Coturnix japonica: one gene and its partner. The protein of the gene in region 1 purifies or fractionates together with the protein of each later gene. This does not show direct contact. Links are inferred from orthologs where the notes say so. Each region holds a gene or a part of one and is shown on either strand. Other genes may lie near its edges.

The links.
Region 2: the proteins of BACH2 (region 1) and MAFK purify together in Homo sapiens (co-immunoprecipitation; 3 studies listed by BioGRID and IntAct, with this or other methods). This does not show direct contact. The link is inferred for Coturnix japonica from reciprocal best matches to the Homo sapiens genes BACH2 and MAFK.

Annotation. Positions count from the first base shown.
Region 1 is NC_029518.1:68,534,351-68,538,737, forward strand, and holds the start of BACH2 (transcription regulator protein BACH2), read left to right. Parts: upstream 1-1,387; 5' UTR 1,388-1,860; intron 1,861-4,387. UniProt on the Homo sapiens protein: Transcriptional regulator that acts as a repressor or activator. Binds to Maf recognition elements (MARE). Plays an important role in coordinating transcription activation and repression by MAFK.
Region 2 is NC_029529.1:2,690,731-2,694,975, forward strand, and holds the start of MAFK (transcription factor MafK), read left to right. Parts: upstream 1-1,358; 5' UTR 1,359-1,513; intron 1,514-2,455; exon of another isoform or gene 2,456-2,990; intron 2,991-4,245. Other genes in the region: lysosomal alpha-glucosidase, read right to left, coding at 1,046-1,194. UniProt on the Homo sapiens protein: Since they lack a putative transactivation domain, the small Mafs behave as transcriptional repressors when they dimerize among themselves.

The DNA of each region.
Region 1 (4,387 bases):
GCACCAGCATCGCTTGCAGAGGGAAACTGAAGTTTATCAGTCAGATTCTCCAGCAGGACATCAATCTGCTGCCACACGCAGCTACAAAACACAGGGGTAACATGCTGCTAAACCAGAATGCTTCTTGCTTTACACGAGCAGACAACCATTCAAAATGCAAACTAGGGGAGAGTGTTGCTTTTGAAAAGTGAGGGCATGTCTGACATCACATGCACAGAGCTGATTTTGTGTCGACATGGTCTCTTTGCACAGTTTTCTGTAATTAAGTTGACTTGGAAAAATGCAGCGGTGAGATCCGAAGTTCAGTTCAACACAAGAACTACTCCTTGCCCCGAGAAGAACATGGAAAGCACAGCGTAGTAAAGGGGGAAAACCGGGATGGATACATGTATCAACGGCTACGAAACAGTAAACAGGCACGCGTTAATTACCAAACGTGCTCGCGTTTAGCTGCGGGTCAGCATCGTTCTTTATCGGCGTTTGCTGACACTACGGCCTCGCTGCCGAGACTCAGCAGCAGGCAGCACCCCGCGTCGGGACGGCCTCACGGGCGTTTGTTTTTGTTTTTAATCTCGGGAGCACTTATCTATTCCTCTATGATGTTTGGCAGGGCTGACTCATGACTGTTGGACGCTTGCGGTTGGCAAGAGCTGGAGGATGAGGTTTCTCAAGGGGCGGAGCGCGTAAAATATCACCAGGATCAACAGCGGGGCTCCGAGACAGCCGGGGCCGGCCGGGTGGGTTCCTCGCCCTCCCTCCAAACCACTCAGCCGGCCCGAACCCCCCGACTCCATCCCCGGTGCCCGCCGGCTCCGGGAGCCGGGCACGAAGCTCTAAACAGCGGACCCCCACGGCCATGGCGGCCGCCCCAACGGCCCCTCGTGGTGGACTACGGCTCCCACAGCCCCTCGCGGCCGTCGGAGTCCGGCTGTAACACCGCATATACACATATACACACACATACACACACAGCCCGGGGGGAGCGAGCCAGCCGAGCGCATGCGCCGCCCCCCTCCTGGGCAGCAAGGGGGAGGCGGGGCGTCCTCGTCGCCGCTATTCGCGGAGCGGCCGTACGCATGTTTCCGTGCGTAGAGAGCGAGGCGGGCGAAGGAGGGCGCGCTGCGCTGTTGGCGTAGCGTTGTTGTGAATGGAGCGGGGCGGGGAGGATGATGTCAGCCTGGCGAATGTCAACAATGTAGCGATTGAGGGGCGGGGGCGGCGCCGGGCCGGGGCGCGCTTGGCGGCGGGGCGCGGGCAGCGGCAGAGCGGGGCAGCAGCGGCCGCGGAGCAGCAGCAGCACCAGCGCCGCCTCCTCCTCCTCCTCCGCCGCCGTTTCCGCCCGCGCCGTGCCGGGCCGGGCCGAGCGGCCCCGGGCTGCCCCCGCCGCCGGCCCCGGTGCCGCTCCGGCAGCGCCGCTCCCCCCTTCCCTTCTCCTCCTCCTCCTCCTCTTCTCTCCGCTGCGGCTTTCTCTCCTCCTCCGGCCCCCGCCAGCCCCCTCCTTTCCTCCTCCTCCCTTCCCCCCTTTTATTTTTTCCCCCTCACGGCTCCGGCTCAGGGAGCAGCTGCTTCAAAGCGAGCGCCATGTGATGAGCCTTCGGGTCGCGGCTTTTTTTTTTTTTTTTTTTTTTTTTTTTTTTTTTAATTAACCTCCCCCCACCCCCCCGGTATTTAACGGGGTGGGCCGCGTTGTAGGTCGGTGACCGCAAGAGAGAGAGAGAGAGAGCGGTTAACAACAATTTCCAAACACAATAACAATAACAACAGGCGGCAGCAGCAGCAGCAGCACTCCTTTCCCCGATCCCCATCGGCCGCAGCTCAGCGACAGCGGCGACCCCCAAAGTTGAGCGGAGGCGCGGCGAGGTGAGTGGGGCGGCGGCGGGCGGGAGCCTTCCTCCTCTCCTCCTCCTCCTCCTCCTTCTCCACCCCTCCTCGGCCTCGAGCAGCTGTTGCGCGGGGCTGCGGTGCGGGAGCGCTGCGAGGGGAACCACGCGTTGCGTAACGGGGGGAGCGCAAGTGGTCCTCTGGGTGTACGTATCGTCTGTCTATACGCATACATACGTGTGTATATATATATATATGCCTATATATACACGCAGTACTTACGTACCCGTATGTGTACACGCATATGTGTGTAGGCATGGGCCCTGTCCCACCGCCGTGCCCACCCCCTTGCTCCCACCCCCGCTCATTGGGGTGCACATTGGGCTCACTCCACTTCCCTCCTTCACCGCTGGCTCAGGGCTACGGGGAGATGCCGAGCACGGCCGCAACGCGTGGCGAGGTGTGAAGTGGCAGCGCTCCTCATGTGGCACGGGCTATTTGTGGGCTATTCTGGGTGTGCTGGGAGCTGGCACCAGCCTGGTGGAGCAGAGCGTGTTCCTCGCTGCTCGGGGTAATAATAATAAGCAGGAGTGGCGGGCAGCCCATTGGAATTGTGCGTTGGGATGGCGGAGTGGTTGTGAAAGTGTAGTTGGCCGTAGCTGAAGGTGTGTCGGTGTTCTCTCAATGTAAACCCATTTCTCTAAGTCACTGCATCTGTCTCTAAAGTTGTGCTTGTTGTAGTTGGGTGTTTAGAGTCTCCAGCTCATTTTGGGTTGGGGACTGTCTGAGGCTGTGCGGTGCCACTGGGGGAGGTTGGCTGTGTTCGGATACATTGACATCTCCAGGTGTGTCAATGCCAAAATGCACTGAGGTGGACAGAATGAAATGACTACACCGCATGTTGGGCTGTTGTCCATGGGGCTGTTGTATTAACTGCTTTAAAGCAGTGTTTTACAAGGCTTTGTGCCTGACAGCCAGCAAGCCATAAAGTTCCCCTTCCAACGCGTGCTTACTGTGCAATTCATGTAGACTTTCCCAATTGGAAAGACAGTGATGGCTGCAATGACATGAGTGATGTGGGCACACGGACAAATCCCCACTGGTGTGTGCCAGACCCTGCACTGGGAACAGAAAGCCGGGGCAGTTGTCTCAGTCTTCCTCACCTGGGGTGCATCTGGGACATCTGCTGGTGTTGGTGTCTCGCAGGATGTGGGTGGGACACCCTCTGCTCCTCCCTGCTGTGCTTTCTGCTGGTTGTTCTGCAGGAGGAGATGGGCAGCTCCTCTTAGCTGTCTACAAGGGAAAGTTGGAGATGCTGGCTCAGAGTGACAGTCCAAATTCCAGTAAACAGGCATGGACTTGATGCTCCTAGCATGAGAAAATCGTGGTAAACCTTAGGCATTGTGGATGGCCTCAGAGATGTGGTGGGATTAACGAGTTTAATCAAATTCCCATACCGCCAGTGATCTTATGTATTGGTCTCCGTCTGTGTGGTTAGTGACAAAGAGCTGGAAATAAAGCTCCCCGCAGACGATGTGTGGTGTGCAGTGTGTGGCAGGAGTATCTTGCCCTTTCTTCTTCTAAAACTTTTTTTGCTTGTGTTTTTGTTCTGAAGTGCGATAGCTGGGCTTTGTTTGTTTGTTTGTGATTGCCTGAGAGTTGCTTCCCCTAAGAAATATTGCCAGAAAAAGGAAAATGAACGATCCCACCTTTTCCAAAGCATTTGGAGGAGAACACAAAGAGGTGTTTTCTCATTGTGTGCTGATGATGTTCTTTGCACATGCACAGATATTTTGTTTTTAAGAGACATCTTTGAATGTGGCAAATAAGTGTCTGGAACTCCAGCTGAAAAAGGAGATGTGTAAGTAATACATGCAGAGTAATGATTTCAGTAGTAATGGCATTTTTGTGCAATAAGCTGTTGGTGCAAGTTGAGTAGCGCTTATTACGTGATTTGTAATCAGTCTTTTGCAATTTTTGTTTAGGTTGTATGAACACGGGTTATATATTCAAATCAAAGCGTGCATGCCTTTTTGCTCAAAGGAGTGCTTCCCTGAATGGTTTCTCAGTTTACAAGCTAAAGGAACGTACCTGCAGCATTTAGCTGATCCATCTGGGGTTTGAAGGCACGGGTGCTTCCTTCCATCTCTCACCTCTGGGTCTGAATTTCCATCTCTGCTGGTTCTGGGTCTGTGTTAGTGTAATTGACTGTATAGTAGTGGTTTCTGGGCTGGAGTATGTGAGAGAAAATACACAAGCCATTCAATTTATGTGCAGAGGAAAATCTCAATTTAAACTGAAATATAGGCTTTCTGTGAGCCCAGGTTACTCCTGCTGCTTCAGGGCTCCTTCTGACTACAAATGCTTGAAGAGAATGGGGAATGGGGCCTTTGTAGTGCCTGTCCTTGTCGTTCTCTGCAGATATTTGAAGAGGTGCCCACACGGTTTTGTTGTAGCAGCTGAATGGGCAGTAGATTCCCACCCACCCCCAATAATTCCCTGAGGTTTTTCAGAATAGTGTTCAATTGCTCACTCGGCTTTTTTTTTTTAAAAAAAAAAAAAAAAA
Region 2 (4,245 bases), on another chromosome or scaffold:
ATGAGTTTTGTTTTCAGTTCTCCTGTGTATACACTGGGTCTCAAGATGCTGCACAGTCACATTTCCAGCCTCCCCTTTTCAGGATCAGAGTGATTAGCCTAAGCAGAAGCTGGAAGAGATGCCTGTGCTGAGCACTCTATGGGGCCTGACCTGCTCTGAGCACACAGCAGTGGGGCTGACCCACAGCTCCCCCAGAGGCCCCTTTTGTCCCCTTGTTTTTCACCCATTGCACTCTCTGCCACGTGCTCACACTCTCCTGTTAAGCAGTGTGTGTCTGTGCACGCTCCCAGCCAGGTTTGCACTCTCAGGAGATCAGAGCTGCTGGTTGTTTGCTGTCGAAGGCCACTTCAGTCTAAAGGTCAGCAGCAAAAGACAACAGACCTTTGGAGCTGAGCTGCTCTCTTCTGGAATGGAAACAAAAACCCAGATCTGTTGTGAATGGCCAATTTGCTGAATTTCAGCCACCCCCCTTTACCAAGCCACACACAATATGTTCATCCTTGCAAAGCCAGGGGAGAATGTCCCACTTTGGCTCTCAGCAGTGGGTGAGACCACATGTAAGAGCCACCACCTGAGAGAAGTCCTGGATGCAAACAGGGCCCTTGTGGCTGTTCCACCACCTGCAGAGGGTGGGTAGCAGCACTGGGGACACTGTTGGCCATAGGGCTCCTGTCCTTCGTTGGGCTCTGTGAGCTGGAGAGTGAGATGAGGATGCAAAACACACGCAGAGCCCAGCAGGGAGCACAGGGCTGGCTCAGACCTGTCCTTGAACCCTGAGCCCAGCACGGCTCAGCCAGCGGGCCAGATTTAAAGCAGAGTCTGCAAACACAGGAGGGGTGAAGTCAGCAGTACTGCAGCTCCTGCTTCAACCTTAGTCTGAGTGCAGCCCTCAGCTATTGGAGGAGGTTTGGCCCCGAGGCTGCAAAGCACAGACTGCAAAGAGCCGGCGCTGGCTTCGCAATGCAGCCATAAATAGCCCCGCACATAAACGCAACAGGAGTCCGGTTTCGATGGGGGTTGCTGGGTTGGCTCAACCTGCGCTGACCTGGCACTGCAGGAGGGTCGGGCCGTGGTGGGTGTTTCCCTTGGCAGCACTGATGCAACACCCGCTGCCCAGAGCTCAGGTGGCGGGCGCGGGACTTCGGGGCGCGCCGGCGGGAGGTTGTGTGGGCGTGGCCTGGTGACGTCACCCATTTTCCCGCCCCTTCCCCAGCCATGAATGAACCTCGTGGGCGGGGCCGGCGGTGACGCGCGCGTTCGGGGCGCGGCGTGGCGGGGCGTGGCGGCGGTGACGCGCGCGGTGACGCGCCGTGCCGGAAGCGGCGGGGGCGCTGGTTGGTCGGCGGAGCGGCCGGGGGGGAGGGGGCCGCCCCGCGCTTGTTGTTGTCCGCGGGACCTGGCGCTCAGGGAGGCACCGAGCCCCAGCAGCGCCCCCCGCCGCCGCCCCCCGCCCCACGACGCCGCCGCCGCCCCCCCACGACACGGGCGCGCGCGCGCTCCCGCCGACACGCAGGTGAGCACCGGGCGCGGGCACGGCGGGGGGGGGGGGCGGGGGGGTGGGGGGGGGCCGCGCGGTTCTGCCTCCGCCAACACTATAGAGATCGGGGAGGAGGGAGAGGAGGTTCAGGGGGGGGTTGGAGGTGTTGTGAGGATGGGGGAACCGGCGCGGTGCCGTTCGGGTGGGGTCGAACCCGAGCGGAAAGTGCTGAGTCACCACCGCGCCGGCACGTGGGGCCGCCGCCCCGCGCAGCACCGGGCCCGGCGGCACGTGGCGCCGTTCTACACCCCCCACCTTCCCCGAAAGAAAGTTGCCGCGAGTCGGGGCTGCTGCTCCGTGCTGCCTTTGGAGCTCAGAGCGAGGCGTAAAATAGAGCGGGGTCAACCTGTTGTTGGTTGGAAATACCGCGCAGTGCCGCGCATGGAGGCTCAGAGCGCGACCCGGCCCACGGCCACGCGCGGCGCTGCTTCCTGCGGGGAGCGATGGGGGCAGCGCCGTGTCCCGCCGCCTCCTCGTGTTGAGCCGCCGTCGCGCGGGACGGCCGGGGGTTTTGTTATGATGGTGATGAGTGTCGTTATTGCTCGGAAACGGGGCTGCGGGAAAAGCCGTTCCGAGCTCCTCGTGGAGGTGGGGAAGGTCAGAGCCGGAGAGCGGCGTGGGGACAGCGGGGAGAGGAACCGAGAGCGGAGCTGCAGGACGGCCGCCCTCCTCCCGCTGCTCTCCCGCGGGGCTGTCCCAGAGCTGCACCAAAAGCAGGCCACCAGGTCCCGAATTGGGAACGGGCCCGTTGGGCAGCGCTGTCACAGAAAGCTACAGGGCCTTTCTATTGCTGTCACCTGCCTTCTGAGTTCCAACAGCCCCGAGCAGGGCTGGGAACGGGCACAGCCGTCGGGAGGGATGTGCTGGAAGGCAGCTCCGTGCCATCGCTGATACCCCAGCACTCACAGCATTCATTACCTGGCCGTGTCTGCGCTCAGCGCTGCGTGTTGCTGCTTTTCCCCTCTCCTTCCGCGTCCCCCAGCGCAGCGCAGCGCAGCTCCTTCCCCGCGCAGTCACTTCCTCGCTGTGATGGACGCCGCTGCTGCCCAATGGCGCCGCGAAGAGCCGGCAGGCAGCGGAGTTAACTCTGCCGGCACCTAACGGGGAGCTGGCCGCTAATTAATTGTCCCTGCGGTCACCGCGAGGATGGGGCACGGCGGCTGTCCGTAGCTGGAGGCTCAGCTTGGCACGGTGCGTGTCTGTACCTATGGTTGGTGCAGGTTCACACCCGGCCTCGGAGGTGTTTTCTGAGCCAGGCGACCGATCGTCAGCATTTTCCTCTCCCCTCGTTGTGGTTTGTTGTGTTTCATCCCGTTCTCGTGCTCTCTCAGCAATCTGTTGCAGCTCACGGTTCGCTCGGTGCTGTGTGCAATCCGAAAGGGAAAGCTCAGAGCAGCACAATACACCCCGTGTGCGTCCGTGTTGGGAAGCGATTAATGGCGTGGAATGAGCGGGGTGAGAGCGGGCAGCACAGTGAGGCTGTGACTGTGTTTGGGCAGCAGGAGGGGACAGCTGGGAGCTCTGGCGCTGGGGGGCTGTGTGCTGAGCTGGCCGTGCTGTAAACATCCAGCTGTGAAGTGCTCGAGAGGCGAGAGTGCTTTCAGCTCTCAGGAAGTCTCCGGCTCAGCACCCTGTCGAGATGAGCCGGCAGTTTCCACTTGTCTGAGCTATTGTTTCAGGCTATCTTCAAACCCCAGCACTGAGCCTTCCAAGCATGAAGCAAGCACAAAGCCATGCAGCTCCATGGCCATAAACACGAGGGCTGGGGGAGAGGCAGGAGCCGTCCCACTGCTGCTGAGCTCTGGAGCAGTGGGATAGCAGGCGTAGCAAAGCCCTGCTCTGCGGTGCTGCAGGACCTGAATGCCACTGCTGTGCAGCAGCTGAAGGTGTCCGACCTGCTGGCTGGCAATGGCATGGGGACACTGGGGATCCTGACCTGTCCTTGCATTGCTCTGTGTATGGGTGAGCTGGCTGCTGCTCGCAGGCGCAGCTTGCCTGGACTAGTGATGCTCAGATGTGATTGTAGTGTAGCTCTACCCCCTGTACGTGCATGATGGAAAAAGTGCTGCATCCTGTGGTCAATGAGCACCACCTCTGTCTGTCCTGTACCTGTCCCCTTTGGCCACCTGCTCCCCAAGGTCCCATTTGTGATGTGGTGCAATGTGCCCTCCTGGTGCTCTGCTCGCTGACCGCAGGCTCTGCAGCATCTGACGAGGCTGTTTACCCAACCACCAAGGGCTGTCTGATCTCCGTCCAGGCTTCCCCAGAGAGCGCCTCATAGAGCCGTGTTCTGGCAGCTCTCGCCTTTGCTCTGAAGGTTCGTGAAGCTCCTCTCTGCTGCTGGATGCTGGTTCCGATCCATAAGGGAAATGGAAAGCTGGCCAGCTGGGCGAGGGCTGTGCGGAGCTCCTCTAGAACGGTAAACAGTGACTCACCCCTCCTTGTGTCTTCTCTCTGTTCATGTCAAATACGTTGCCTTACATATGCTCCTGCTCTCTGATTCACACCGGGAGCGCAGCCCTCCCCTCTCTCCTTACAAATGAATGACAAGTGTCAGTCTGTCCTATGGAATGTGAATGCTGTCAGAGTAGGGAAAGGGTTCATAGAATCAGAGTTGCTCAGGTTGGAAAAGACCTTAAAGATCATTGAGTCCAACCACAGCCCAACCACACCACCATGTCTCTAATAACCCTCCACTAAATTGTGTC